Linked DNA regions of Drosophila melanogaster. The protein of the gene in region 3 interacts with the protein of the main gene of each other region in a pairwise test. Each region holds a gene or a part of one and is shown on either strand. Other genes may lie near its edges. The genes, in order: CG7173, RpL24-like, Nha2 and CG31909.

Region 1 (8,804 bases), on a different chromosome or scaffold from region 3:
TAGTCACGAGGAAACTCTGTCTCGAGTTCAACGAACTGCAGTGGATTGGTGTTCCTGCCTGACTGTTCCACATTTTTACGGACGAATCGAATGTTTTGCACGAAGTTCGCCGTCAAAGTCGTTGGCGTGGTCTTTGACGAGTGCAGTGGCGCCTGCTGCTTGATCAATGGCTCGATCACCGTGTCCGAGGAGGACTTTCTGGCCTCCATTTTCTTGGTGTCTGAAACAACCGCTTGCGACGTCCCCTTGACTGACTTGTCTTTTTTAGGTTTGCCCGAAGTAAGACCAGCTTTCTGGTTGCTTATGGCATCTGCAGGTTCTATTTTGCTATCCATTTCGTCCTCATTCTGTTCCCTGCTCTGGTTGTCCTGAGAGCAAAGCACCTCTACATCGGTTGATTGCTGTTTGCCTAAATCGCCGTTGTTGTTATCGTTGACTTTCGGTACGTCGTCCACGTTTTTCGGGCTTGACGCCGTTTTGCCGGGAAGGGTGTTATTTGAAAAGCGTCTTAGCACCCGCACAAATAGGTTACTTTTGCTGGCAGCTGGTGGTGTAGGCGTGGTGTTCAGCGTGGGTAGAGAAGAAGCTGGCTCGATAGGTGATGACTGGATTGAAGTGGTGCTGCTAGTGCTCGTGTGTGCAGAAAGTGTGCCCTGCTTGCAAGTGGGCTTTCTGTTTAGTGTGTCTTTTAGTTTTGATGTCGGGTTCGGCTTTTGCCTAGAGGAGGCAGATCTATTAAACGAACGGTGTCCCGACTTTTGTATATTAGCTCCCTGCACAGTTTGCTCCTCGCTAGAAATTGAGGTATTCCTAAAAGAATGATAGAAGTAGTTGATTAGATTCTATAGACTCACAGGTACAACAGTCGAGTTTTCCACAGTTCTCAGTAAACTTCCTTCCAAGAACATTTTATAAACATTCGATAAACGAAAAAACGGTTTCAGTTTACGTGTTGTTTATCTAGTAAGTTTTGCTTAAAACAGAGACGTTGAAGTAACAATTCCAGTTGAAGCATATTTAAAAATTAGTATCCTAGGGAAACAAATCCTTTGTAGGATACTTGGTCAGTTTAACACACTACATACAAGGATATTTTAAACCAGCTTTTACGTTATTTAGGCATATATGAAACAACGATTGTTACTTCAATCATTTTTTGTTATGTGCCCTGATTTAAATAAAAACAATATTTAAATAAATAGAGATATTCCCTAAATGTTTTGGCAATGACTCCAACTCACCTTTGAGGTTGCGTGGTGCAGGAGGTAGTACCATCTTCGCTGATGGCGCTTCCCTTCCGAGCACGGTTCGCAGGTACGACCTCTTGTTGTCGTACGAAGTCGCAGAGGGTTTGTCCAATTTTGCAAGATTTTTAGCAGCAGACCACCACGTTTAATCTGAAGCGAGAGGCAAGGCGGTGAATGAGTACATGAAGGCATGGAGGAATGGAGCAAAGGTTAAATTCCGGCACTATTGACAGGAGGAACTGGCTTGGACTGGGGCAGAGACATGGGCAGGGGCAGGAGCAGGGAAAGGTGACCATTCCCACACCCACTTATGTTCGTTGCTTGGTGCCGACGTCTGAAATATCGCTTACAGCTGGGTGGAGGAGGTAGTGGCGCCGTCTCCAGGAGGCCGAGGTGTGCGCTTTCCATGAATCACTAGTTTCGATTGCACTACGTTCGTCACTGGCTCTGCCGTTCCACTCTACTCTGTTCTGTTCTGTCGCGAGGGATATGTGCGTATGTGCGGTACGCTGGCTATACATACATATTTATGTACATTTGATTCGGGACAGGAAGCATATGCAGCGACTATGATGTCATGTTTCCACGCCGCTCCTTCCGGAAGTCCTTCGCTCGACGGGATCGTGCTCGAGTTGGGGATTTACGACCGGGACGGGGTCTAGGGCTCGCACTGCGACTGTCGGATCGTTCGCATCGAGGATTTCAATTTGTGATTGTGGTGTTCAAAGGCAATTCGAGCTAGCAAGCTTTCATATTACGGCACGGGGGATTGGTAAGTCTTTCGGGAGATAGTGTCACCTCCACAAGGGGGGTCAATTGGATTGAACGCGTGCGAGAGTCAGCGGAAAATTGAAGTTATTTCGCCAGAAGTTCCCTTTACTTTCACAAAAAATTTTACAAAGCAACTGGGTTTACTTGTGTTCGTGATCTATCGATAGCGCATATTGTTACACAAGTGTTATCGGCGGTGATGCCACCCAAGCTACCAGCTTGCCTAATATATATGTTACGCATTAGCAGAGATGTTACCTGGCCTCTGTTAACTTGAACAGTAGACCGTTACTCTTCGAACGAGTTATAACATTGTTAAGAATACTGTATAACCTTTAAGCATTAAGCCACTTTTTTAAATTTCATTTTGCCTGCCATAATGAAACAGATTACAAACAGATTACAGCTGTAAAAACCACACCTAACAAAGTCTTAATAAATTCCAAACCCTTATACAGGTTTCCCTTATTCAGCAAGAAGATGCTCCTGTCTCTTTTGTTTTGCCCCTAAGGCAAAAAGCCCAGATAGTCTCTTATTTTATATATATAAATATGATTTTCGATAATGTTTTCTTGCAATTCGTTAATTTATTTATTATAACTAACTTCTCTGAATGATTTTTGAGATACATACAAATATATTGTAGAACTTAAATATACATGCACTAATAGTTTATAAGTTATCACTTTAATGAATAGGAAAGCTATAAGTGCACGATATTTTTATACGTGAACAACAAATCAAAATCACTTTTTACAAAACCCTACATTTTACCATTTCCACTAAATTTGCATATTTTGTAATCGCTAGAATAAATTAAATTAAAACAGTTTTTTATTTTATTTTAGTTTAAGAGCAAGATCCTTTACTCTTAATCGTCACACCTGGAATAGAACATGTTGGTTTAAAATATATACAGACAATACATATATTGGGTATGAAACTCTTACTTATATTGAGGCATGACGAATAGCACTGCAGTTGGGTTTCGCCCGTGTACATGTATCCGTCGGATCCACAGATTATTTCATCGTTTTCATCGTACACATTAGCACATATCTTCTCGCAGTAGTTTTCCGTGTCCTTTGGATCGTCAGGAGTAGCTGAACTCGTCACAGTGGGCACCTTTGGAATATCTTGCTGAAATGGGCAAATTTAAAATTAAAAATGTAAGAGCTAAATTCACAGCAAAAAGAATTTGATCTTATTAGGAAAAACTGTTACTGGTATTTGATGAGTCGTATAATTTTTGTAGCTTGAGTTGATAGAATCAACTATTTTTTTAAGTTTATTTTTTCAAAGAAGAGTACTATTTTAAACCCGTAAACGATTTGATCGAAATTAAGTACTCACTAAATCGCGTAAAAATCATTATAAAATGCCTTAAAGGTTGGAAGTGCTTGTTTTTGTGGCCACTTTTTGGCCAACAAATATGCTAGCTTATATAAGCTACTTGCGGTTTTCACATTTATTGAGAAACAGAACCAACCTGCTTTCCACTTTCAGTGTCGGAACTATCCTCTGGGTCATCGGTGTATTCCTTAATGGGCTTGCTGAGTTCAATCTTCGGGGCAGGAGATTTCGCGGGCTCGCGGGGAGCTTGGGCCACGGTTTCGTAGTAGTACTGATTGGCTTGCGGGGCTTGGGTGTACTTCATCGATCCCCTTATGGCATCTTGCTCGGTGAACTCGAATCGCAGAGGCTCCGGGGTAAAGCTCTTGTGGGTCTTGGCGAGGTGCTGGCTCTTCGACGGCGATTGAGTGGTGGTCTGGACCGCCATGGGAGTAGAGACCACATGCTTAACGGCTTTGTTGCCGTCGGACTTGACAACGAAGACATCCTGACCTGCCTGGTAACTGCCGCGAACCACTGCGGAATTCGCAGGAGCGGGATCTTGCTGGTAGAACAAGTCGGACACTTGTATGGGCTCATTGTAACTGGAGGAGACTGAGTTGTCTAGGCCAGCAGTTTTGTAGGGAACATGTTGCTGCAGCGCTTGTTGCTGCTGCGGCTGCTGGTGCTGCGGTTGCTGATGCTGCTGCTGTTGTTGCTGATACAGTTGCTGCTGCTGCTGCTGTCTGTATTGCTGTGGATATTGGTGGAGCAGCTTCTGCTGGTCCCGCTCGGCGTCCAGTTTCTTGAAGTCAGGATCCCTCTTGGGCAGGAAGTACTCGTTGGTGCTCATGAATTGCAGGTAGTCCTGCGCCTCCCTGGACTCCTTTGGTGGTGGCACTGCCTGGCGAAAGTTTACCGCCTGCTTCGCAGGTATATCGGTATCCTCGTAGACAGAGTAGCTATTTGGATCCTGGGGAAACTGGCTGTTTTGGAGAGCAGTTTGCTGGGTAGGGACAACACTGAAACTGGGAGATCCCTGCTGTCCGAAGAGCTTGGGATAGTGCAGGTACTGGGAGGCCTGGACGGGAATCGCATGCTGTTGGATGGGTGCGTACACTGGCTTGGTGTCCTTCATGATCACATTGCCATTGAAGCGCGGCGAGGACTTGAAGTTCTGAATGTACTGCTCGGAGACATACTGGAGTGGGAACTGGTTTTTGCCCACATCTAGCACCGGAGTGTCCTTTACGTGGGCGAATCTGCCCTGCTGACTCTGGTCGAACTGGTACCTCCTGAGCTGGTCGTTCGCAGGAAAGTTCCCGAACTGCTCGCGACGCATGATGTGCTGCGCAGTGGCAGGTTGCGGCGACCGCAAGAACTTGTTGGAGCCACCAGAAAGCATGGCCAGGTTATCCGATCGCGATCTTATCCGGGGCAGTTGTCCGGGACCCGGCGGCCGATTGTGCTTGATATGGTGCTGGGCCAGGGGCTGGTTCTCACTCAGAAACTGCCTTATGCGCGCTTGTCTCATATCATTCTCACCGCACTGCACTTGGTTGATTAGGACCACTATCAGAACTAGGGCCTCCAAAATGGGGGCCAACTTAAGCGGACTCTGAGTCATTTTTAAAGCTCGTCTTCGTTCCACGACGGTCTATTGGTATTTGACATTTGTCAGTTCCGCGGCCAAAAGCAAAAAAGTTTCTTTCGAATTAACCACGCACACATGCGAAGCTTCTTTTCCATTCGACGATCCACGATCGCGCAGACTTGATCTCACTTTCTTTGTTATCCGGCCAGTCGTTTAAATAAAAATGGAACGCCTCGCGGCACTGCAGCCAAATACAATGTGGTGGCCTCGTCTCTGGGCCCAGATGCAGCTATCTATGTATATCTATTTAAAACCGACTTGGTTCGCCATATCAGCTTAAGATGGGCACTTTTTCTAGAGCCTGTGGTTCCAACGCCGCAGCACCGTTAATCAATGGAGGGTCTCGAGCATCCACATCCATCCGATTACTTTCTTCTTGAATTTCGGCGGTGCCGTCGGTTGGAAAGCAACTGAGTGGCAAATGGAACGTTTCTGAACTAGCTGTGCTGGAATTCGGAGTGTCGGAATGGCCACTAAACCAGTTTTGAGATGCTGCCTCTGCTGCCATAGAGGAGCTGCTGTGGATGTGGATGTGGATGTCGATGTCGATGTCGATGTTTTTGGATTTGGATGTGCATGTGGTGTCCACCGAGAGATCCCCGAGAGATCATATCGCGACACGAAGATGGAGCACTCGAGCCTCGGGGCACCGTGACATCGCTCCAGATGCGACAGAACCATTGGCCAGGTATGCTCATTAATCTGGCTATCTTGAGTGCTGGTGAAAGTAAATCGGAGATAAGATCTTTTGGAGACCTATGCGTAATTGGTTCGGAGTTCCTCAAACATCAGAGATTAATTTGCTTATACAGAATGCCAGATGGCTGGATGTCTGAGACTTGTGAATGCAGGGTTATTTACCTCATGTAAAAGTGAAAATGTTTTTAATTATAGATACTGGGATAATGGGTACAACTTTCGCTTTTGTCGTCAATTTGGCACTGCTTTTTCGAGAGAACAAGCCATGAAAACGATAATTTGGATCATTGTTATGCAAATCGCTCGAAACTGTAATCGTTCGTTAATGTATTCATTCATAAAAGCCCTGTTATTCCATAAAGTTTCAAATATCTCAGATTCTTTTGTGGCCAGTAAGTTTGTGAAAATGGAACTGATTACCTTTTTATGTATAAATAAATATTTATAAGGACCTAACACAATTAAAAAAAAACAACTCGGTAGCAATAAAACTCAGTTGGTTTATTTAGTAATATTATGAGATGTTGTAGAAATAAATAAATCTCCTTTGTGCGGGGGCACATTTGAATTTAGACAGACTCCCAGTCATATCACTAAATTCCCAATACGCAATTCTTAGCTCTTAAATTAGTTCTACAAAAGGTTGTTCTCGACGTCCTTGGCTTAAACTACAAATGTTGAAATGGCCTCGTGCTTAAATACAAGTCTCCTCGTTCTCGATCCAAATATCGTTCTCAACTTTGGGCTCCTCGCAAACTGTGTGGCTGTTTTCCAGCACGATGACAATGTCCGTGGTGCTCAGGACCGTGGAGTCCGCATTCTGGAAGTGCAAGGTCCAAAGTTAATATACACACGTGGAATACAAGCAGGTGAAAAGTAATGTAGTATTTATTCGCCCTGTATTTTACTATTTCACAAACTCAAACAATCACATACGAGCACTTTAATTCGCTCAACAGGCAATGTAAGGAAAAGTTATGTTCCCATGGGTATTTGTGTAAACAAAGCGAAATCAAGTTAAGCGGGGATGGAGCCGGAATACTAAGCAACTTCAGCATTGGGAATTACAAGGATACACAAATTGACGCAGAGTGAAATAACTTTTTAATTTGATTTATTCGCCCAGGTATCTTTGAGTTCCGAGAGTCCGGCGACACAGAAAAGTTTGGAAATAACTCTGGGATTTCCAGTTCAAAAGAATCTGCGCATCTGTAATAACTAAATTTATGCTAATTTACTACTATATCATACTCTAGGACACTATGCTATACTTCAATGAGTATTTATGATTTTGGTCTGTTTAATTACTTTTGGTAGCGGGAGGCTGTAGGTTTTCTTTATCAGCACCCTATTTGCAGATGAGGAGTCCGTTTCGAACTTATTTGGATGCTGGCTGGCTCTGACGTGAACCTATGGGGTAATTTGAGATAGAATAACCAAATTAGGTTAGGTTGGATTAAAATGTGCTTTCAATAACTTAATAACTTACAGAATGAACGCGGTCGTAGGCGGAGCTTTCCCGGAAACTGGAGTGATCCCTCGCAAATCCGCTGTTGTAATAGGCGCCCACGGCTTTTCCGCAGAGGAGTTCCCTGAACGCAACCCTGTAGCGACGTGACATCACACTGTACACTATTGGATTTACGGTGCTGTCAAGCCAGTTGAATCAGATAAATAAGTTAATAGAATTTGGGTTCATTTACCATGAAACGTAGTACGCAAATCCCGCAATCGAGAAGAGTGCCTCGTTTATGTCCAAATAGTTATCCATGTTCTTGGCATACAGGAATATGAGTCTTTGCAGGTGGAACGGGAACCAGCACACGAAAAACGTAATCACCACAGCAGCTATACTGATTAAACGGGGACTTTATTGATGGATTCTGTTGGGATTGATTGGGAAAAGCTCACCCAACATGCGAATAACCGTCTTCTTTCTCATTTGGGAGTTTCTCGTTTCCCTGTTGTTGGTGCCTTGTTGAACACCTGGAATACATCCCTGAAGTCGGATCTTTTGGGGTCAATAAAAGCCAGGTACTTGCCCAATTTTTGGTTCGTTCGAGATCGAATCTTGGCTCCCATTCGTCCGTAGAGCAAAATGATGAGTATCATCGGAATGACAAAGAAAATGCAAAAGGATACTTCGAACACGGGAATTTCGTTAACAATCTTGGGCGACATGGAACAGAATGCCGACTCCTCAATGCGGGAATGATCTGAAAAGCGCAACGAATGCCATTTATACCTGTTCATGTTATTTGGATATTATTCAAAGAATATACTTCAACCATTCATGGCTGTTGGATGGTGAAGTTCAGGTCGCTCGCAAAATTAAAGTCCATTTCAATTGATTTATAAGGTTTCAGCAATTTACTTCATTTGAGCAACTACTGACTCGAGCACCAAGCACCATTTTTGTACTGCTAGGGAACTTATGATGTAAATAGTTTCATACCTAATGGGTAGTTGAGGTATTGAATATCCGAGAGCAGTCCAAATGGAATGGCGCTTATAAAACTAACAATCCAAAGAGCTGTTATTATCCGAATCGCGCGCTTGAAGCCAACCATAGCATACAGGTGCAATGGATGGCAAATGGCCAGGAATCTCTCCATGGAAAATGCGACGATGGTAAAGACGGAGACATAGGTGCATCTGAAACACAGCTGGGTTTATAAATGGCTAAACGTGTAGTCAAAAGTAGTTATACTAACGCCTCTGAAATAAATGCGCGTATTTTGCAGAATGGCATGCCGAAGAGATCCGGATACTGATGCCAGTACAGAAACACTTCCGTTGGTAATCCTAGTTTTGTTTAAAACAGCATATTCAGTTAACTATATTTTCCTATTTTATTTAGTTAACCTACCAAATAGTAGGTACAGCAGATCTGAAACAGCTAGGCTGAACAGATAGTAATTGGTCGCCGTGTGCATTGCCGAGTGGCGAATAATCACAATGCACACTAAGAGATTACCAACGACCCCGGTTATAAATATGCCACCAAAAATAATTGTTATCTGGAAAAGGTTTAAGCAAACAGAATGATCGCTTTATCAATTTAAAACCTTAGATTAAAGCAAGCAAATTGCAGAGCCGAT
Region 2 (6,833 bases), about 12 Mb from region 3:
TGTCAGCTATAATTGTTTTATTTTTAGCATTATGCAGGACTTCAAGCTGGCTGCACTTAAGGTGTTTGGAGCCACTGCTAAGTACCTGTCGAGAAATCAGCGCTTGGGTGAGGTAGAGCGTCTGCTGGACTGCATAGGAAGCAACAACGGCGGAGACATTTCCACGGAGTCCGATGAAATACTCTCGATTGCCATTAATGCTGCTGTGCACAGCAGTGCGCCGGAGACGAAACAGATGCTGGATCGGTTGATCAAACGCATCGGCAGCGTGGAGCTACGAGTCTCCTCCTACATCTACATTGGGCAGCTTAAATCCGCCTATCTGCTGGCCAACAAGCACGATCGATTGGCGGATATCCGGCGAATCCTGCGGCAGGCGGAGCTTACCGGTCAGGTTCACATCAAGAAACTGTGCGATATGAAGCTCCAGCTAAGCGCCGCGCCAACGCCTCTGTGATATCCCAACCCTCGAGCAATAACACATTAGTAACCCCTTGTTTCTGGGATTTACTAGCTGTGAGAAATACCAAATGATGAATTTGTAGCTTTGAAAACTCCTGCATTCTAAAAGACAATAACATATCTAAGCAAATTCTCAATTTTGAGATTTAGATGAATATATATTATTCGGAATTGGAATTCATCTTTTGATTATTCACCTAGTGAAGGCCCAAGTTGTTTTGTAACTGAGCTAGCATAGATAATTTGTTTTTAGAATTTAACATATATGTAGATCAATTTTAATCTTTCCAAAGGGCCAGCAAGTATTCCACCCTCCAGCTCAAAAAGACTCTCCCAGCATGTAACCAAATTATATTATTGATTGTACTGTATTTTATATTTATTATGTTATTTTTATATTATACTGTTATATGTTTATTACCCAGAAAATGCGCGATATTTTTGAATTCTTGGGGCGACGGTCAACACTGCTCGTGTCAAGTTTACCAGCACTGACAAAGATCTAAATAAGTGGTAAATAAATAGAATAATTAAGAAATGCGTGCGGTTATACAAAGGGTTAAGGCTGCCAAAGTGACGGGTATGCAGGATCAAATAGTTACCATCTATCATATAATTTTATACTGCTCCCCTAGTGTTGGATGAGCTGGTGTCCTCCATTGGACCAGGCCTGTGCGTGCTGGTGGGAATCAAGGCCAGCGACACCGCCAAGGATGTTGAGTATCTGTAGGTAAATTCCACTCTGGTGATAACCACCTTAGGTTTAGACCACCTAACACAGCTTACCATTCAAGTGTCCGGAAAATCTTGGCTCTCCGTTTATTCGAGGAGGAGGGCAAGCGTTGGCAAAAGTCCGTGAAGGATCTGAACCTAGAACTGCTGTGCGTCTCGCAGTTTACACTGTATCACCGCCTTAAGGGCAACAAACCGGATTTTTTGGCTGCCATGAAGGGCGAGGAGGCGCAGGAGTTGTACAATCAATTTTTGGATCGCCTAGGTCAATCCTACGATAGCACCAAGATTAAAGGTGAGTGATAGGAACACTCCAGCTGGTCATGTTTTAATCTCACTTACTATAATAGATGGCAAATTTGGAGCATACATGCAAGTGCACATAGAAAACGATGGACCCGTAACCATTAATTTGGAGTCCCCCGAACAAAAGGATACTGACAGAGAAGTGGACAAATGATTTGAAAATATATAACAACCAAAGACAACATTTATGTACCACGGGGTTTTTATATAATGTATTTTTTAGCAGCAACTTAAACTAAGAAAAAATCAGCGTACTCGTCCTTAGGCTTCTAACATCTCGAGATCCTCGACCCCCATTCCCTCCTCCAGTTTCTTCTCGAGTTCGCGTGCATCCACGTAGGTGATCTTCTCCTCGGGCAGATCCTCCTCCATGAGGGCGGCCTCCTCTGCCGCCTCCTGGGCACGTCGTTGCTTCAGCCCTGCGGCTGGGGAGCGAATCAGGGACATGTTGCGCTGCACATCCTTGACGTCCATCTGAATCTCGACCTGGCGACCCTTGCGCAGTCGCTCCATGACAAAGTGGCTGGTGCGTTTCTCCTTAATCTCCGTCACCCGCTTGATGGCCTCCAGACCCTTCTGCCAGGTCTCGCGGCTGTATTTCATGGGCACGTTGCGGCGCTTCTCGAACTCGAAACTGGGATCGATGGCCAGCTCCTTGCCGGCGGCCTTGCGGTACGCCTTCGTCCATCCTACCTTGCGGGGATTCTTCTTGCGCTTAAAGGCCTTGTGACACTTGCCTCGGCAGAACTTGAAGACCTGCGACGGAATATGGCGAAGCAATATAAACATCGGAGCACATGTAAACAGGAAAGCAAATCGTTCTTACCTTGCAGTCATTTCGCACGAATTGCACCCCGTGGCCCGGGTATATTTTGCTAGAGCAAAAATAGCACGTTTGAATGCGCATTTTCGCAATTTACGACGGATAAATTACGAAAACAAAACAAATGCGCAAGCTGCTAGCACGTGTGCTGCTGAAGAAGAAGAAATATGAAAATGTATCGGCAGTCAGCAGTGCGACCAGTCACTGCTTATCGATAACACTGGCTAACATGGAAAATAGCTAGATGTAGACAAAAAATATCCAAGCAAGAAATACGTATAAATTGCAAGTGACTGCGATACCAGTTGACAGTTGTATTGTTTTGATAATTTCAATTACCTTCGGTCTTTGTCCAAATCATGTTTTTCCCAGTATGTTTACATTAACTTAAACTGAATTGTTGCACCTGTTTCTCGATAACATCGCATGCGCTCGCCAGTTTGCACCAGCTGTTGCGCCAGCTGATCGCCCGCTCATGCGCTGGTCACACCGCCAGCATCCAAACAAACAGAGCAGCAGACCAAGAAAATCGGACACATCACCGCGAACGAGATCTTGCTGACGTGCGACCAGATGCAGAGCCCTGCCTTCGCGTACCGGGAACACGCAGAACACTCGCCGCGCGCCATGTACATGCGCGACTGGCGATCGGCCCTGCGGACGCCCACGTACCGGATTGGGAATCGGACGGTGCGCTTTAACTATCACTTCGCCCTTCTGATTGTTTGCGCCTTCGTACTCGTCCTACTCTTCTACTTTGCGCGCCAGGGATCGCACTCCTCCTCCGACGGCTACTGGCTGCGCCGCAGTTACACGGATGCCCGGAGTCTGGACAATGGTGGTCCAGTGGTCCAGGCCTACAATGCCACATATCCGCTCACGTCACCCATGGTGCTGCGTGGCGGTGTGATAAACTACCGGATAGCCATGATTGCCGATCTGGACACCAGTTCCAAGGTGAGCAAGGGCGATGGGAGCAGCACGTGGCGTAGCTACCTGAAGAAGGGCTACCTTACCTACACGGTGGCCAGGTCAGAGATCCAGATTAGCTGGGATGACGGGGCGCCGATAGTCCTGGAATCAGCATTTGCCCTTAAGGGCCGCGGAATGGAGCTATCTGAGCTAGTCACCTTCAACGGGCGCCTGCTCACCTTCGACGACCGAACGGGTTTGATATACGAGATTGTGAATGACAAGCCCATTCCCTGGGTGATCCTGCTCGATGGAGACGGACACAGTGCCAAGGGCTTCAAGGCCGAATGGGCCACAGTGAAAGAGCAAACGCTGTATGTGGGCTCCATGGGCAAGGAGTGGACGACAAGTGCGGGTGATTTCGAGAACAATAACCCCATGTACGTAAAGGCCATCACTCCGTCCGGCGAGGTGAGGTCGCTCAACTGGGTGGACAATTTCAAGCAGTTGCGCCTGCAGTCGATGCAAATAACCTGGCCGGGCTACATGATCCACGAGAGTGGAACCTGGTCAGAGGAAAGGAATCGCTGGTTTTTCCTGCCTAGGCGGTGTTCGAAAGAGAAGTGAGTAAGCGTGTCAGCCTTTAAATCCTTAACTCATCGATCTATCTTTGAAAGATACAACGAAACCAAGGACGAGCACATGGGCTGCAATGTCCTGGTCTCCGCCGACGAAAGCTTCACCAACGTTGAGACTGTACGGCTCGATCCTGAAAATACAACGCCCACGCATGGTTTCTCTAGCTTTAAGTTCTTGCCCGGCACCGATGACTCAATAATCGTGGCTCTTAAGTCGGAGGAGTTGAATGGCAAGACGGCCACCTTCATCACAGCCTTCGATATTGCGGGCAAGACACTGCTGCCCGAAACGAGGATCGAGACGGACTACAAGTATGAGGGATTCGAGTTCATTTAGCTCGCCATTCCAAGCTACCGCACTCCACTCTACTTCGATCCAGGTGCTTCAGTTTTAAACGTGTACATATTGTATTATTGTCCCATACGGTAAGCTTTATATTTATAGTCACCTAGATTAGTCCAGAGATGCTCATCTGCCTCATGAACCGTGACTCCTTGTCCCGTCTTGTACCATAGCACAAAAAAAAATTTTAGTTTATTTTTATTAAAATTGAAATATAAAACGTACAAAGCCGGTGGCAAACTCAGAAAAGCCCTGCATCACGTTTCTTTAATCTTCGCATCCAATCCGGCCACCATAAGATCGGCTTTATCGATGCGACCCTCGCTGGCGCGAACTTCCAGTCGATCGGCATTGTGGTTGACATTCCAGAGTTCGGGCAAAAAGCGGGGCTGCATTGTGTGCAGAAAGTGCTGCCGCCATAAGCGCTCCAGCTCCACCAGGCCGCCGAAATGATCGCGATATTGCTGCACCACCCGCTCGCCATGCTGACAGTAGTCGGAGTTTTCTACGCGATATTCCACGCTGGCTGCTTGCCGCAGGAGATCTTCTGTGATGTCCGTTTGATCGGAGTAGTAATCGAGGAGAGTCTTTTCCATTTCGGCCTTCTTTGCAGCGGGTATTTTCGCGCCATGATGAAGTAGTGCCTTGCCAGCGGATTGGACTCGTCTGGAAATAATAAAATGCAATTCAGATTCATTGAGAACTCTATGGAGATTAATTTTATCATATATCAGGGTATGTTTTGGAAAGTTAGGTGATAAAAAAGAGGCAAAATATGTCTGGTAAGATAACTGATAAGGCAATCTACATTCCTCGCAATGTATAATTTACTTTTACTTTTAACTTAGTTCTGAAAATGTATGGCATACTTACTTGAGCTGCGGATCATCATGGTACTTGACAGATCCGTCTTCCTGCTTGAAAGGAGCTTCGCACTGCACGGCCAGTTTGCTGCGAACCCTTAGATCCGAGATGTTGCTTAGCTGGTGGCAGGTTGGGCACAGGAGCAGCACATCGTCGGAGGTGTGAGATTTCATGACCAATGGGAAATGCTTTCTGTATTCCCGCGGTACCACGTTCTTCCGAATGTACGCATCCCGGTCACCACACACCACGCACTGGTTTTTCTTGATTGTTTGATAGAAGCGCCCCACATCTCCGACCGCTCGACCCGCTGGCTCGAAGTTAAGGCGGACAGTGAAGGGCTCTTCGCTTATATGCGTGCCCAGATTTTGATTGAGATACCAGGACGCCTTGCGCCTGTCAATTGTACACAGGAGTTCGCCATCGGGCGCCTGCAGCAGGCAGTTATCGTAGAAGTCTTTGGTTCGGGTAGCTATTTGCCGGTACGGTTGCTTCTTGGGCACCCATTTATTGCTTTTGGATTGGGTGGAGCCCTTTGAACGAGTTACTCCGCTGCCGGACGGGTTGAGTGTGAAGCCTTTCGTGAAGTCCACGTCGAGAAAGGGTTCGAATTTGTTGTGCATGCTATTGTCGTCCAGTTGCCTTCGTTGCCAAAAGTGTTTTGGCTGCAGATCCCTGCACAATTTTTGATAAATGGCCACCGCCATAAGTGCGTCGTTGGCAGCGTAATCAAGCTGTTTTGGCTCCAAAGTCTTGGCCTCCCAGTTGGAGCAGGCCAGGCGCCAGTGCTTGTCCAGTGTATAGTTCAGGTGAGTTTTGGAGAGCTTTCCCAGTCCCTCAGGTTTGTGGCCTGCCATTACGCAGAGGAAGCGCAGATCCAGTGTGCTGGCCACGCCTACTCCATAGTCGTGCGAAAGTTTCATGGCATCCTCCTGGGGTGCCACGCCCACTTTGATCACGGAATCGTCCTCGAGAAGCTCCCGCAGATCCTGGGGTATTTGTTTCATATGGCACAGTCGGAATAAGGCACATAGACCCCGATGGGAGCTCAATTGGAGCAAGGCCACTGGCCTGCGGCTGCCGCCCACGGTGATCCACTCGCAATCGAATCCAAGGACTTTAAAAGTCTGGCAGTGACTAAGAGGCAGAATATATATATATATTTCCATTGTCGTGAAATTAAAGTGGTTTTTACTTACTTCTTCAGTTCATTCAAAACCCATTGCGTGGTCGGATCCTGGACGGAGTTGATCACTTCTATGCGTCGCTGGGGCACCAGGCTGCCGAAGGACCAGACGCGACGCAGTGGACACAGCAGTCGGTGCCTGTGCCGCACCAGGACGTATACCAAGCCAACTCCTGCGGCCAGAATCGCCCAATTTCTTTTGGTGGCGACTGCCGATTCCCGAGTCATTGTTCTCCTTTCGGAGTTCAGCAGCTGATTGGCTGGCCTGCCAACTTACGTTTTCACAAACCGTAAAAGCCGGTCTAAACAAGTTTCGGAATATTTATAACCGTAATTTGAATGTGCTATGCCAAAATAGTTTTACAGTTTTAATACATTTTAAGCAAAACTTGTTTCAAATCTTTTAAAAGTTCATAAAAATATATCGAAATAAAACCGTTAAACATGACGAGTCGTTTAAAAAGGTGGCATTGTTGGCTGGACTAAGATCTTCGGGGTGGCAATACTGGCCCACAGGGTTTTCCGGAATCTCCATTCGCGAAAAGAATTAAAAATGTTTAATTAAAC
Region 3 (8,525 bases):
AGTATTCAAATTCATCACGCATTCCGATTCAGTGGAAAATGCGATTTTATTGAAACAGTTTCACAACCGAACCGCACAATTTTAATGCCGAACACCGACTAATCGCGTTCAATGGCAGCGGACAACTGAGATGTCAGCTCTCTTAGGCGGATAGCTCCACAGCCTCGATACGGAATATGTATATATTTTTTATCTTATGCTAATAAAAAAAAACATATATCTGGGAGTTCGAGGTGCTCTCGTGGGCACGCGAGCGAACCAGACAAAATATTTGTTTAATAACTTAAAATTAGCAAGCAAACTGAGAGAGAGAGAGATTGTGTGATAACGAGAACATATGGGATTATTAGATGGAACCCTGGATCGGAACGCAGGTGCTAATTATGATAAACCGATCGCGATTATGATGTTTCCCACATACATCACATTGAGTTGTAATCTTTGGGGGGCAGACGGCGATTGCAGTAGCTGGGAAATTTCTAATCCCGACCCGCCTTGCAACATAAACACTTATTTGGCCCAAAGCATTTGCTTATCAATTAATTAGCCATAACCAATAGGGAAACTTATGTACGCCCTGCAAATATTTGCCATTTCAGAGGGGCTAAACTCTCGGTTCAGTTGGATTTCGGTTGAGTTGATTATGGCTGCGAGCTTATTGATTATTTACCAGTTCAATGCAAAGTTCGCGTTTGAACTACAACAAATATTTAAGTTTTGCTAATTAATTTAAAATATCTACCCGCCCCTAAAAAACCGAAACTGAAATGGCGCTCGGGTGAGGGGAAAGTGGAAGGGAATGAAATGATAACAGAGGCAAGATTTCTTCTCCATCTTTTTGAATTATGTGCCTCATTTAAAAGTTTTTGCGGCACTTACTTTTACTATTTTTTTCCATAGCTGCCTGGCAAAAAAAAAAAAAATGGTGCATAAATTGTGCAAAGGTGTCGGCGAAGATAGCGTTCAGGTATTGTAAGGCAGCACTTTCGGAGGTCCTGCCGCTGCTGTGATATTTCATATTTCACATTCATGCGCTGCACTCGAGAAAAAGGGGAAGCCGTTGAGCCAACTTGAACTGCAAGTTGGGCAGGTCATTAAGGCTTCATTGGACGCCGCCCCATTGATTATTACCTTTGGCAGTTTCCGGGGCCACGACCACGCCCCCCTATCACTGCACCAATCCCATCCGCCCACTTTGCCCGGGGCACTTTTTTGGCATTTTATCTTGTCATATTTTCTGCAACTTTCAAGTGACCAGGCACGAAAATAATGCAAAAGTTATTTTAAGCCAAGGCACTGCGATGCCTTTCGCATTTCGCATTTCGCTTTTCAATTGCCCAAGAAGTTTCCACACAAATTATGCCACTGGTCGCAAGAAGCGCAGCAGGAGCCGGAGCAGGACTCCTTCGCAGAATGTGCTGATGGAAAAAAGTAATGGCCATATCCATGGAGCTCCAGTTACAGTTGCAGCTGCATCTGCAAAGTTTTTGTCATCCGCTTGTCATGTGCGGACTATTGCGTACGAGTGCGAATCTGAGGTGTTAATTGGAAGCGAGGCAAACACTTTTCCAGACGACGTCGGCCCGAAAACTAAACAACTTTGAAAAAGTTCACTTAGGTCTAAGGATGGAGAATTTATAGTTCTGCTCAAAGTTGAACGAAGTTTTTTTTTGCTGTCACTTAACATTTAGATTGTTTTTTCAGCTAAAAGTGCCATAAAAAGTGCTCGGCAAGACGGTCTACTGAATGTGTATCCCCAGTAATTTATATCAGTTATTCAACTATTCATTATTTACAGGCGAACGTTAGGTGCTTTTTCAATATGTTTAAACGGAAAATTGCGCTCGCTGATGACAGAAGTCCTTATTCTCCTTATTCCGTGCTCTTCCACGCCAAGGAGCCCGGAGTTCCTGCTGTCTGAAGTCTGAAACTCTTTCTGCGTCTGGGGCGTACTTATATATCAAATCACTTTTCCCGTACTCAGAACACATTTATTTTATTTATGTTTACTTAAGCGTACCACCTTTTAACTATGCCAGCCGGCATCCTTGCCGCGTCCTGAATCCTGATGCCGACTTGCAACTCCACATGCAGCGCGCATTCGGAAAATAATTTCTTTGCGTGGAAGAAGATTGCATTCCGTTGTCACGCACTTCCTGCCAAGAGATGAACTCACGCCCCAGCGATTCGCATCGAATTTAGTGCTCATACATCGCAAATCAGTGGAAACTGGCACTTTCTTGGCTCCGGGCTGGTAAACTATATAAAAATGGTAGAGAAATGAGGTCACAAAGCGCCATTCAGCGCCATGCTGGTAAATAAAAGAGCCAGAGACAAATTGAAAAAAAAAACCCCCGTTGCAGCTCGGCAAATAAGCAGCCAAAGTCTGACAGGTGGTCAAAGGTTAAGTGCGGGAGGGGCGACTAAGTGCAGTTTTAGTAATTAGCTGTGGCGCAAGTGCAAGTGCCTGCAAATCCTTCAGATTTAGCCAAAGTATTCAAGCCTCCAAAGTGGGCCAACACAGCTGCGAAACGCACCAGCGCCAATTGAAATGGCGTCGAAAGGGTTTTCGTGACGGTTAACATTCTACCATTCATTTGGCAATCATTATGCTGAGTCACAGTCTAGCTGGCATTTATAAATGTCGCACACTGCGTATACGTAATGAACTGACTTGCACACACACACACACAGGCGCATGAGGCGAATGCGCAATGCACTGCATTTATCAATAGACGAGTGCATGTTTGTGTGCCAAGCGTATATCATGTTGGCTTTAGTTAACAGAAATGTCACCGTTTCACTCACAAGCAGAAGCGACAGGTGAAATGTGGATGGGGCAGGTGGATGGTAGGGCTGTGCCATTCAAGGTTGAGCTTGAGGAATTGCCCCAAACGCTGCATTTAAATGGAATTTATTTAATATAAACGAGTGCCTGCACATGCGAGCATTAGTGCTGCCTGCAGCGGTGCGCAAACTTATTTAAATATGACTTCCACAGTCAAATCAGAGTCAGACGCGAAATGGAAACGGGCATCGGAATCGGAATCGGAATCTGAATCAGAATCAGTGGTGCACTCCGAATGTGAAAGCGAATAGCAAATGCGAAATGAATGCACAGGAAATGAGCCCCGGTTAATGCATATTCATGGGAACATACTTTGCCGAGAGCCGCGGGCTTTTGCCACTCGTGTTAGTTGTATGATTGCGGGCATTTGGGCGCAACTAAACTGGCTCATTATTCGTGTGAAAATGCCACAATTGCGATGGCCCAAAGGGAAGTTCTCCCCAATTCTCCCAAAAAGTTGTACAATGGACTGGTGCGAAAACCCGCATTTGAACAGATGCAAAACAATTGCTGCTCTGGGAGTTTCAAAAATACTAGCTACTCGGCTGTGGGCGAAAAACCAGCAAGGGCCACCTGCCAAAACAGAGGAGCGTAAACAAAAAGCTCGGCCAACGAAAGTGGTCCACACACATGGCCAGCAGGGCACAGCCTTGCATATTTCCAGAAATCAGAAGGAATGTGTAGGAAATGCCTGCCTTTGAGTTTGAGCCGGGACGGTAGATGCACTGGACTGTCAATCGCAGACACTCTGTCGTCAATATGCGGAAATATTACGTATACGCCCCTGTGTCCCCCGCCCGCCTTCGCCATCTTGTGCAAGATGTGATTGTGCGGTTCACTTAAAATCGAAATGCCTCAATCAGCTCCTGCCAGTTGAGAGAAAAAGCTGTGATTCTGCCAGGATATCTCGACGGCGAAACAAAAACTTTGCATAAACAAACTATGAATACTCGTATATGTGCTGAAGTGCATATGTGCATATCTGAGCACGCATTGTGCACTTGGCTGTCGGAGCCACTTCGCTTGGCTGGCCAACAAAGCGTTGGCATGGAGCTGTTCCACTGGATGTCTCTGTCTTCAGCATCCTTTTTGCCGTCCTGTCTGCGGGTTGTGTGCACACTGATCCGGGGAGCTGGTTGCATAAAGGCAAGAATTTCCGTAACAAATACTTTCGTTCCGCATTTTTCGAATTTCCCCATGACGACGCGGTGCAATTAAACATATCACTCACCTTCGATGGCGCTTGGCGCGGTGCTTCCATGGGCACGAGGGGGCACCTGTGGCTTGTCGCCAAGGAGGTGCTCCTTTTCCGGCTCCAGGATGCTGGCGGTCACCGTTTCGCTGGCTCGACGCAGCATATGCAATGGAGTCAAGTTCGCATCACGATCGCGTTCGAAATCTTGCTGGCAGGAGGACATTTGATACGAGTCCTCGAAGGGATTGCTGCTGCGAAAGGCTTGCAAGGGTGGACCCTCACTGCCTGCCACTACATCCAATATATCTAAAAAAAAATATATATATATATATAAATTAATTTGTATGATATTAAAATTAAAATCGCTTTATATTCATACTTTTTTCCCACAAAAAAAATTGACTCAAGCTATTTGGTAACATTTTTAATTACGCATGATAGATAAAGCCGAAGGGTTGCTAATCAAACAAAAAATATTGATAATTCCATTCTACCATTCTTATTTTCCAGTCCCAAGTATATAAATAAAAGAGTTAATTTCCCAACAATTTGACTTGTGGAAGCCCGAACATATTTGCACACGATTTATTTATTGGCACTTGGGCAAAAAGTGGCATTTAATTGATTAACCATAAACTCGTAAATTAACGCCGAAAGTGAGTATCGAAAGCTGCCAGAATCGCTTACCGGAATCGCTGCTCATGTCGAATGTCGGCGAAATCCAGAGAACAAAACAAAACTGAGTGATTGAGTGAAAAAAACGCGGAAAATAATGCCAAAGAGCGACAACTGCTGACGCAATCAGTACGATGACGTAGTCCAAATGGCTATTCTTGGCTCAAAATTGACGAGTGCCAAAGAGAAACGCCGCGGTTTGAAGAGATTGGTTAGCTGCGAATCGAGTGGATATATAGTATATAGTATAGTATATGCAGGGAACGGAACACGCGCGACACGACCGGCGGAAAGGCGGAATGAAATAGTGTAGTAGCCCCGGAACTTGAGCACTTGGAGCTTCTTTTTATTACAGCTCATGCACTGGCAAATATTTGCCAAACGCATTAATTAGAAAAGCAAAAGCCATTTAAACAAGCAATTGCCGATTCGCGCAGCTCCAGCGAGCGCTCTTCGATTAAAACTAATTGGCAAACAAACAAGCTCTGCGGAAGGCGAACCTTCTGTTTTCATTGCTGTCGAGCGAAAAGTGCGGAATGAGTTGGTTTCTGGGTTGGGTGAAATGAGGGGTGGGGGTGGGGTCTGTTTGGAAGCACTTACATATTTATAAGGGGTTCGTTTATCTGCGATTCAATATGCCCATAGTTTTCTAAGGCGCAGCCAATTAGCTGATAAATAATTGTCATGTAATCATAATTTATCTGAACTAGATAAGGCGCCGAATAGCCGCGTTATTAATAGACCTCTAATCATAGCGCATTTCCCATGTGTGAGTGTCGGAATGATTAAACGCTTTCACTTTTTTTTAGGGAAATGTGCGCGACCTGCCCCATTTGAGCTCTATCATTGGGGCGGCAATTCTGTGCCATAGATGGCGCTTTAGTTTGCCAGCTGCGTTTACATGGTATTAAAAAAAAAACTACCTTATATTGTTTTTATTATTAATTATTAATTTTTGTGAGCTTGGAAAGCAATTATATTTCCTTGAAGTAAAAAGAGTTTCGCTTGTCTTGCAAATTGTTTTTCTGACAATTTGCATTTTGACGTTGCTCATCATATTGGGCGCCGTGGCCACTCCCACGCCGTGGCTGTAATTTAATTGCTTCGCTGGAATATTTTTAATTTACCTGATGGACAAACCAGCCCCATGACAAAGATAACCAATCGCAGTGACGTCACCACCATTATCCAGTGCTCCAGTCAGATCATCTCCTCATCAGGTGCCACACGTTGTTGCGCAAAAAAAGTGTCGTTTGCGAAAATATTTAATTTATTTTAACTATGCACACACACTTTTTTGCACTGTATGGAGTTGCAGTTGCACTCTCACTCTATAAGATGGCCATTATGACGACGATGATGATGACTATGATGATGGCTCAAAAAAAACAGGACATTGTGAGGTGCGGGGCGCTGCAAAAAGGATAATACAACTTTCTCGCTCTATTTGCCACGCACACACATGTTGTTACAGTGCCGTGATTTTTGTTGCATCAAATTGGAATTTTTTCCTTAAATATGGTAAACATCGATGGGGCAGAGATTTATGTATAGTGCAGCGGCGCGTTGATGAAAATGACTCGCCGCTGCATTGACCGTGTTTACTGTTTGTCAGACAGGGCAGCAATTTACGCCCACATGCAAAAAACATTAATTTGCATGCAAGTCAATTATCAGGAGGCAGCAAACAGACAGGCGCTAGTTACCAGTTTTCAGTATTCAGTTTTCTGTTTTGAGTTTTCAGTTTTCAGTTTTTCAATTTCTTTTGCACAAACATTGGTGTTATTATTCCGCCATAAGGATGCAAGGACTAATGGAGATACTCTTGAAATGGGTCATGATATTCCAAAAGAATCGCATATGGCGCAGAAAGATTTATTTTGTTTTTCATTAAAGTACCATACAAACCATTAATTTAGCTCGCTACTCTTATAGAGCATCTGCAGGTTGTTGAGCTCAACGTGGACACTCAATGGCGAGGACTTTCAAACTGCCAGGCCAGCACATTTCTAAATGTTTTTATTAATTAAAAATATTGCAAATTAAACACATTTCCAAATTGCGTTTTGCATTTTTCGTATAAATACGCGGTCGATGGAAAAAATGCAAATATAATTTACAAAGCATACATTTCACATTTTATTCTTATTTTATGTTCATTGCATTTTGGTTTGCTCTATCGCCGCTTTCGCAGCCATCAGTTCTTAAACTTGCCTCAAAGCTCTTAAACACGATTACTACCTGCTAATTAGCTTAGAATACCTATGTTTTGGGACCAGTCTTGGGTGCATGATGGGGTCTACCTGCTTTTGATGGTCACCTCGCACTTGGCAGCCAGATTGCGGAGGGTGAGGAACTGGCCGGATGCCCTAATCTCCGGCCAGCTGCACCGGAGCGAGTGAGCAGGTCCCAGGAATCGGTGGCCCGGAGTCTCGATGACAGTCTCGAAAGTGGGTCCATGTGGCAGGTGGTCTAGGTGCCACAGGAAGACGGCGTGCTCATCGCCGCCGCCGATCGCAATGACAGCCAAGAAAAATGTGTGCACTCTGACGTGGCCAAAAGTGGAGGACTCCTCGCTCAGCCGCAGGCAGGCCACGCCCTCCAGGGGCAGCTGGGGGCGGACGTGCAAGCGTTCGCCGAACGTGCCGTAGATTTGCAACACTGCCAGCCGGTGGTCGCCGCTCAAATGTCGCAACAACTGCCATTCCCGCCGACCTATTGACCCCGCCTCCAGTGGCAGCTCCTGATTTACTCCGGCTGCCGGCGCCTGTTTATGGCTCCCCGCTGATAAGGATGCACCTCCCGAGTTCTCAACCACCGCCAGCGCCTGCATCGCGACTGTTGACAATTTGTTGGCCACTGGCTGGCCAAGTTGGTAACTGTGGCTGCTGCATGATTTCCCAGTTGGGCAATGATAATTTTGATACTCGCTCTCGCTGCTTGCTGACTTCTCATGCCCCAGCTGCTGCCGCTCCTGCTGCTGCTGTTGCTCCTGCACCTGGACACCATTATTTATGGTGGCAACTTCATCGCAGCGCAATCCGTCTTGATCTGGCCCAGTAATCCGCCAACTTTTCTTACTCAACTTTAACTTTGGTTTAACGAGCATATTGTTGTGACCTTCCTCCGAAAAGTGCTCGACAGCGGCCTCCTGATGCTGCACTTTTATCAGCGTGCAACGTGGCAGGACAGCCTCCTGCACCGCCTGCTCCTGCTCCTGCCCCTGCTGACTCTTTCTTCTGATTTCCCGAGGACTTTGGTCCACCAAAACTGTTTCGAGTTGCCTGGAGATTTGCTTGCCGCACTTGGACTTGCCGGAACTCGTCTTCGCCAGCGCCATTTTCGGTTGATTATGATATTCATTTGTGCACTTGTTGACGCTGCTCAGCTTTCCATGGCCCTGGGAGGCAGCCACCTTGTTGGTTTTCCCTGAAAAGAGGCACCGAAACGGAGGACCATTACAAAAAGTACGAAATGTAAATATAATAAATACAACTGGGACAACTGGATGGATATGCACGCAAGTTGTCCATTTGCGCTCGTTTGTGTTTTGCCCCCAAATCCCTTGACACAAACTCCCTTGAACTTCTTCAAGTGGCAAATGAAAATAGAGCAGAAACTAAGTAAATATCCGCGTACCTGCATCTGTATAAAAATGGTTGAACTATGGCTGAACTATGGGTGAATCCGGGCGAATCATAAAGAATGCACACTTAATGTAGACGCAATAAAAACGCACTAAGCACGGCATAATCTGGGAAAAAACAAAGCGAAGGACCCTGAAGTGGGTAAAAGTGGCAAAAAATG
Region 4 (6,534 bases), on a different chromosome or scaffold from region 3:
AACTTAATGGTGTGCTTGTGGTTGAATTTATTGTACCATTATTGGGTAGTGCCAGTAGTTCATTTCGTGCGGCACTTTTACTGGCTTTACGTTTTGGATCGCATTTCTTGGTTTTGGGTTTCACTGTGGTACTTGGTCTTTCAGTTACCAGGGTGAAATTGGCGCAGGGATCCTGCTTGAGCAGCGGTGTTCTTAGCAGGAGTAATCTAACGAAGCACGGATGTTCAATTGGTAGACCTTCCGGGAACGTTGGTTCACAGGGTGGCAAAAAGTCCATGCACTCCTCCTTGCTCTCCTCATATTCATCGAAAATGTGGCTAAATGGGTCCTGTGCATCACCGCTGTCATCGCAACCTATCGGAGCTGTTGGCAAAACGGAAATATCCCTCTGATCGCGACCATTGCTGGGATAGTCCTCCGCCTCGCGCAGCATCATATCCAAAAGTTGCATCTCCAAAGGCGAACTAATGGGAAATAATAATAAAGAACCTATTTAATTTTTTCCCCCAGCTCATTACAACTTACCCAAAAACTGAAGGTCCAACAAATAGCACCCATAGTAGCGGCAGCATCATCATGATTCGAGTGTTTGGGTCGATGGTTTCCATGGAAATGTTGCCCCAACCCGAGCGACATTTGGCTTTTGTTGAGTTCACGTATCTGTCGGATGCAGTGCGCTGCACTCTCACTTTCTGCCAATTGAGACATCGTTCTTTCCGATCTGTAAGTCACCCGTGTCAGCTCCACCACCCCCTCCAATTCGAAATCATAGTTTTGCGGTCAGCTTTCTCATTAGACTCTACTGTCATCCGTCTGGGCGGCGTCTTCGTTGCTCTGGTCTTGTTTTCACTTTTGTTCTCTACGTGACCTGTGCTGAGATCGGCGATTTTTGGCTTTTACTTACCACTACGTTCATTCTTTCGTTTTAGTCTGGGATACTGTATACAACGAAGTTCGATAGCAGTATTCAAATATAGATATATCTAAATTTAAAAATTGGGGAATTTTAAAATTAAAAATAAAGGAAATAAAATTTAAAAGAAAAATTTTAAAATATTTATTACTTTAATAACACGAGAACGAAATTAATATAATTATCATAGTGTATACCGCTCTCTGCTTGTCGCTTTCATTTTTCACGTGTATTTGCTTAACTTATTTAATTTATTATTGTACCGTTTGATTCGACGTCTCGTTCGCCTTGTTTCCGTTTTATGCAAATTACTTTTATTGTCGCCATCGCGTGGGTGAAAAGGGGGTGGAGGTCCGTGGGTTCTACTACCAAGTAATTAATAGCCATCGAATGCTTGTGGTTTTCACGAAATGAAAACAATTGGCTGCCATTCTTGGTTCAATTGGCATTCTGAAAACATCTGAACAATTAGAAGAGCAGTTGTTAAGCGGCTGATTAAGACGGCATGGTACCGAAAGTATAAAAAGCTGTGTACTTAGAACTTAGGACGGTGAGCGCTGATTTGCTCTATTGAATTTTTGTGTACTGAATTACCAGTTGTTTTTATAGTTCGTGACATTTGTTAGGAAACAGTGGAAGTAAGAAAGTGCAAATAATTATTAAACACTTTCGCTGGCTGATGTAGTTAGAAACAAACAAGGAAATGATTTACATAAATTGTAAATAATATGATGACAACAATAGGCTCGGTAAATTCTATTTACAAACTGCTAACATTCTCTTTAGGGATCACTTTATTCAATTGCCGAAAATCTTATTTGCCCACTGGTTTTTTGACCTTGTGCCTGCCACATTCCCAAATGTCAACTGGCGAAAAATGCGTGTTTGGGAAACGAGCTTGGGGCGTGCTTTCATCCTGTCATTACCAAATGGCATTCGCGTGTAATTTGTCTTGTCTTTCTGGAGGAATCTTTACGACTTTCCAGCTGTTTAATGTAAAAATCTTTACTGGCTCGGGGCGTTTGTTCTCAATCAATATTTGCCCGCCAGCCAAATATTTTCCAATCAAATGTAGACCACAAGGACTACAGTTTACATAGAAAATATTGTGTTTAAGGCGCATATTAAATGTAAAACGCTCGACTGGTATCTGAAAAAGGTTTGCCCTTTTCCCTGATATCTCCGGTATCCTTGTTATGCGGAACATGCAATAGTTTTTTGGGTCTCAGCACGCAACACTCACTGAATTATGTTGACAGAAGCGTATCAATGTCACGGCTGAAAGGGGAAAAGTGTGAGGTCCTGGGACTTGAGACATGACAGATGGCTCGAATGCCATTAAAGCGACAAAATAACACATCAGAAGAGTACAGTGGAGGCGCCCTAAATCTAAAACAATTATATGTCCTTCTAGAGCTAAGAATATTGATACATTCAATTTAGTAGTAAATAAATTCGACTGCTGATCCAACATATTTGTATAAAATTAAATATTGATTTAAGTATTTTATTTTCTATACTTCTAGATATTTCAAATGTTTTCAATCAGCTTGTTGTTTAAAACTTATTGAGGACAACAATATTTGTATATCATAGCAAGGAAGAACAAGTACTTTAGTGCCATGTAAATAAATAAATACACCCAAGTGTATGCAATGTAAAAAGGCTTCAAGTATGTAAAGTAAGTAGTCAACAGATGTCGCTCATCTTAGTCTTCGACATATTTGACATACGAAGAAGTACTGCTGGTTATTCCATTACAAACCATATTCATATCGGTTTGTTTTAAGTAAGCTTTACTGTTACTATTAGAAAACTGAGATCACCGGAAGTTTACACAGGTGCTTTTTTGGGGTTAGGCGAGTCGTGTGGTTTTGCGCTGAGTCTCGTGTTAAGCGATGTCGCGTGGACATCGTGAGCAGTCAATTTGACAATTGATAAAACCAGTTATCTAACACTTGAGGTTCGGCGGTTCATACTTCGGTTTGGTCGGGTTTGAAGCTGTTGAAACGGCCTCGAGTGGCGGCCCACTGCCACTGACACTGATATCTACTGGCGATCAATGTAACCGACCGAAAGTTGATAAGAGTTCGCCGCTTCATCGTTGGCCAAGTCACCTGAAGTAACGTGATGGATCGAATTTTTATAGCGACAGTACGCTAATTGTTCAAATGTTTGCACGGCTGCACATCACTGTTGAGTGCCGAACGAAAATTTAATTAAAAGTTTATTTTTAGGTCTGCTCTGATTTTCGCAAGGACTTTAGTTTCTAACTATAAAGTTACTCTCTAACTTAAATTAGACAAACCCGCAATAAAAGATCATTGGAGTATTTATTTTTATGTGAAACTTTATATTTCATTTCAGTTTTGTATTTTTTTTGGTTTGTTTTGTATGTTTAAATACTTATTAAAATTGTTTTTGTTTTTTGTTTTTATTTTTCGTTTTTGTTGCTGTGTGTTTTGTTAGCTTCTGCTTTTCTGTTGTTCTTTGTGTGTGTGTCCGTGTTTTTTTGTTGGTTTTCCGTTTTGCTAAATAAAGTTTTGCGATTTTTTTTTGAGATTTTTTCTTTGCGACGGTAGCTAATGTTTACTATATATTATATAGTAATTAAATAGATAGATGCATGTATGCGCTTGTGTGTGTCTGTGTGACTGTGTGTGTCTATGCATTTGAGTATGTGTGTGTGTGTGTGTGAGCTGGTGAGTTTGGCCTTTAGCTAAGCCTTAGCTTTCTGATCGATCTCTATCGTTCTGCATTCGTTCTTTTTGCTTATCATTTCAGTAATATTTGTTAGGAATGGAAAAAAATTACAAGCCATAAAGGTAGAAAAAAACTTTACAAATTACATTTTCAAAGAGCACAGTAGAGGGATAGAAAGTGACGGAGACGGGGCAAAGAAAGTCTGCGAGAGATGGCACCCCGTCTATTTACAAAAGTATTTGTTCTCCAGCCGCTGGCAGTAGTCGCAGATCAGCTGACAGCACCGTCCATTGTTGAACCGGCACCGGCACTTCTCCACCTGCTTAACCACCTGGGTGGTGTAGCCACGCCCACAGCACAGGGTGCCACAGTTGTCCGGATGCAGGCACTGCCGATCCTTGGTGACCGCGCAGTAGGAGGGCGAGGTCTCCAAATAGTACAGCGTGGTGTATTGCGATTGTTGGGGCTGTAAAGGGAAATTACTTATTAGTTTTTTAAGTTTAGGTTCTAAAATATTAACAAAGTCTTTTGTGGTTAAAAGTCTAAACATAAAGATGGACTACCTCGACTATCAGATACCCTTTTCTCCATAGAAACCAATTCCCGTTATAGATCTACCTTTTCGAATGTATTCTACATATAATTCTACATCTACTCTACTTTTCTTTGAAGAACTTACTTTCTTGCGTCGCTGCTTTGGTTTTTTCATGCGACTCGATGACACCTGTCGCATTGATCGCTGGTTTGGCGCCTTGCGAATGGCCTCGTTGTACTTTTGCCTCAAGAGCGTGGCTGTGGCATTGAAGTCGGCCATCTTCTTCCAGCAAGTTTTCATCGAACAGGAGCCGGAGACGCCGTGGCACTTGCACTTGTCCATCATCTGCGAGGAGACAGCTTCGATGCCGACCTGAAAAGAAAGTTTAATTAGCACAGGTATTCTATAAAATATCTCCTTCTGCTCCTTAAAATATATCTCTTTACCTCTGAGTCATGTCGCAATATCTCGCTGACCTCGTCACCATCACCACCGCGCAAGTCCAGGAAGCTGCGTGTCACCCGCTTGCCGTGCTTCAGATTGTCATTGCAGCCGCCCCACTGGAAGTCCTGCGCCTCCCTGTTGTGCTTTTTTGGCCCGCAGCTGCACTTGGTCATACGTCCCTCGGCACAGGCCCTGGCTATCGAGTGGGTCATGGCGGCCGCTGTGAGCGCGTGGACGAAGGCAGTCTCCTTGTAGAGCTTCTTGAAGATGTTCCGCTTTCCGCGCGTCTCGATCGAGCAGTTCCAGCGGTCGTAGCGGAACTGTTCCTCGCAGTGGGTGGTGGCCAGACGGCGGGCCTCGCTAAGGGTTCCCGGCAATCCCGTCTCCTTGCGACACTGGTGGTTCTGACGCCGCGTGGCAGGCATGTATCTGCAGGGTCCACCCACTTGGCCCTGCGAAGTGAACACCGCCATCACCGTGTGCTCCGAAATGAAGTGTTCGCTGGCAGACATAAAGTATTCGAAATTTTTCATAAGAAAAGGTAAAGGTATTCTTAAAAGTCCTTTTTAGAGCTATACCACAATTAAATTACGTTTTTATTATAAAAAAGAGAGAATTCTATAGTCGAACTCCCCGACTATTAGAAAGCCCTTACTCAGCTAGTGGGAACGCAAAATTCTTTCTAATCTAGTATGCACTTTTACTCTACGAGTAAGGGAAAATTTCGAACGGAGAGGCAGTTGTGTTAAGTGTCAAGTCCAAATAGACCCTACAGTCAGAAAACTTATATAGTGCGGTGAGTGAGGTGAGTGAGAAAGTGAGGTTCGATCTTAACATAAAAAAATATTTTTCTGATTTTAAACAAAATAAGATTCTTGGTACGTATGAACACAGAATGAACTGACCATTGTTATATCTAAGCTCATATAATTGCCAGACAACAAGGTGCTGTCACCATCACCAACAAAAAAAATGGAACCCTCGTTTTCCAATACTAACAAATCGGAACTTCAGAACCAACTACGAGTAGAGAGAGCTCTGCAAGATAAATATTTAAAAGAATTTTCTTCAATGGCGGATGAGCTAAATCACTTAATTGATGGCACTACTCCCAGCCATATTGAGACTTATGAATATTTGGACACTGTCGACACTGAAAGCGGTCGTTCTCTCGAAGAAGAGAAAAAGTTAACTAACTTTTTCTATAAATTGAAGAGCGATCTACAGAAATTATATAGAGAAATCGTAGAGAACCCAAAATATTTAAACGAAATCAGGGATTCAACTATTATAAGGGACAATATAGATTTACTGGATGAAGTAGACGCTTTTGAAGGTTCGATGAATATGCTTTGACGGACAGGTGGGATTTGAAAAATGTAAAAAAATTCGGGTGTTACTTTATTTTTTATGGTTAAAAAATAATAAAAGAAACAGGTACCCGTTATTCTTTTACTCTACAAGTATAACAGGTATATTGGATTCGGATTTCTATTAAAGCGACACCTATCTTTGGCTTGCAGATGATTTTTACACAGATTTCAGCGCCCAGTGCGCCATCTAGCAGAACTTGTATGAAGCTTTGTGTGCGAGCAATCGGTAAAAATACCGTTTCAAAGAGAATTTAAATTTTGTGCGCCTACTTAGTTAAACCAATATGTCATTTGAACACTTAATAATTAATTAATAATAATAATTAAATTAAATTTATTAAATTAATTAATTAGCAACCACCAACCTTAGGATTGCACAATCGAAATTCTGAACTACAAAGTTTTTACTGCTAATAATAAACCGGCACATGAGAAACTTTTATTTGATTTATCAAAAGTTACAACACACATGCTAGTATGGCCTTCTCTTATCAGTTTTCTAGAAATAGCAGAAGGAATTTCCCTTGAATTGGTTTCCCATGCCATATCTGTTTCCAGTTATTTCG

The links.
Region 1: the proteins of Nha2 (region 3) and CG7173 interact in a two-hybrid assay, tested with the Drosophila melanogaster proteins (one large-scale study listed by BioGRID).
Region 2: the proteins of Nha2 (region 3) and RpL24-like interact in a two-hybrid assay, tested with the Drosophila melanogaster proteins (one large-scale study listed by BioGRID).
Region 4: the proteins of Nha2 (region 3) and CG31909 interact in a two-hybrid assay, tested with the Drosophila melanogaster proteins (one large-scale study listed by BioGRID).

What each region holds. Positions count from the first base shown.
Region 1 is NT_037436.4:21,552,784-21,561,587, forward strand, and holds CG7173 (uncharacterized protein), read right to left. Parts: upstream 5,444-8,804; 5' UTR 4,978-5,443; coding exon 3,508-4,977; intron 3,159-3,507; coding exon 2,969-3,158; intron 2,903-2,968; coding exon 2,868-2,902; 3' UTR 2,590-2,867; downstream 1-2,589. Other genes in the region: Wnk kinase, read right to left, coding at 1-335; CapaR (capability receptor), read right to left, coding at 6,398-6,523, 7,012-7,113, 7,193-7,352, 7,407-7,551, 7,615-7,689, 7,746-7,919, 8,159-8,358, 8,418-8,508 and 1 more.
Region 2 is NT_033777.3:11,429,083-11,435,915, forward strand, and holds RpL24-like (ribosomal protein L24-like), read right to left. Parts: upstream 2,501-6,833; 5' UTR 2,408-2,500; coding exon 2,327-2,407; intron 2,257-2,326; coding exon 1,762-2,256; 3' UTR 1,658-1,761; downstream 1-1,657. Other genes in the region: Sptz (spastizin), read left to right, coding at 28-457; Dtd (D-aminoacyl-tRNA deacylase), read left to right, coding at 1,000-1,042, 1,098-1,188, 1,257-1,489, 1,545-1,654; CG5276 (uncharacterized protein), read left to right, coding at 2,897-3,858, 3,913-4,210; Exd2 (exonuclease 3'-5' domain-containing 2), read right to left, coding at 4,474-4,882, 5,090-6,217, 6,280-6,494. UniProt on the Drosophila melanogaster protein: Involved in the biogenesis of the 60S ribosomal subunit. Ensures the docking of NOG1 to pre-60S particles.
Region 3 is NT_033777.3:22,993,435-23,001,959, forward strand, and holds the start of Nha2 (Na[+]/H[+] hydrogen antiporter 2), read right to left. Parts: upstream 5,095-8,525; 5' UTR 4,747-5,094; coding exon 4,731-4,746; intron 4,352-4,730; exon of another isoform or gene 4,350-4,351; coding exon 4,080-4,349; exon of another isoform or gene 3,020-4,079; intron 128-3,019; exon of another isoform or gene 1-127. Other genes in the region: CG34375 (uncharacterized protein), read right to left, coding at 7,018-8,147.
Region 4 is NT_033779.5:7,252,165-7,258,698, forward strand, and holds CG31909 (uncharacterized protein), read left to right. Parts: upstream 1-5,347; 5' UTR 5,348-5,400; exon of another isoform or gene 5,401-5,473; intron 5,474-5,532; 5' UTR 5,533-5,567; coding exon 5,568-5,951; 3' UTR 5,952-6,034; downstream 6,035-6,534. Other genes in the region: CG13786 (uncharacterized protein), read right to left, coding at 1-464, 526-608; Wnt4 (Wnt oncogene analog 4), read right to left, coding at 3,840-4,082, 4,296-4,523, 4,598-5,096.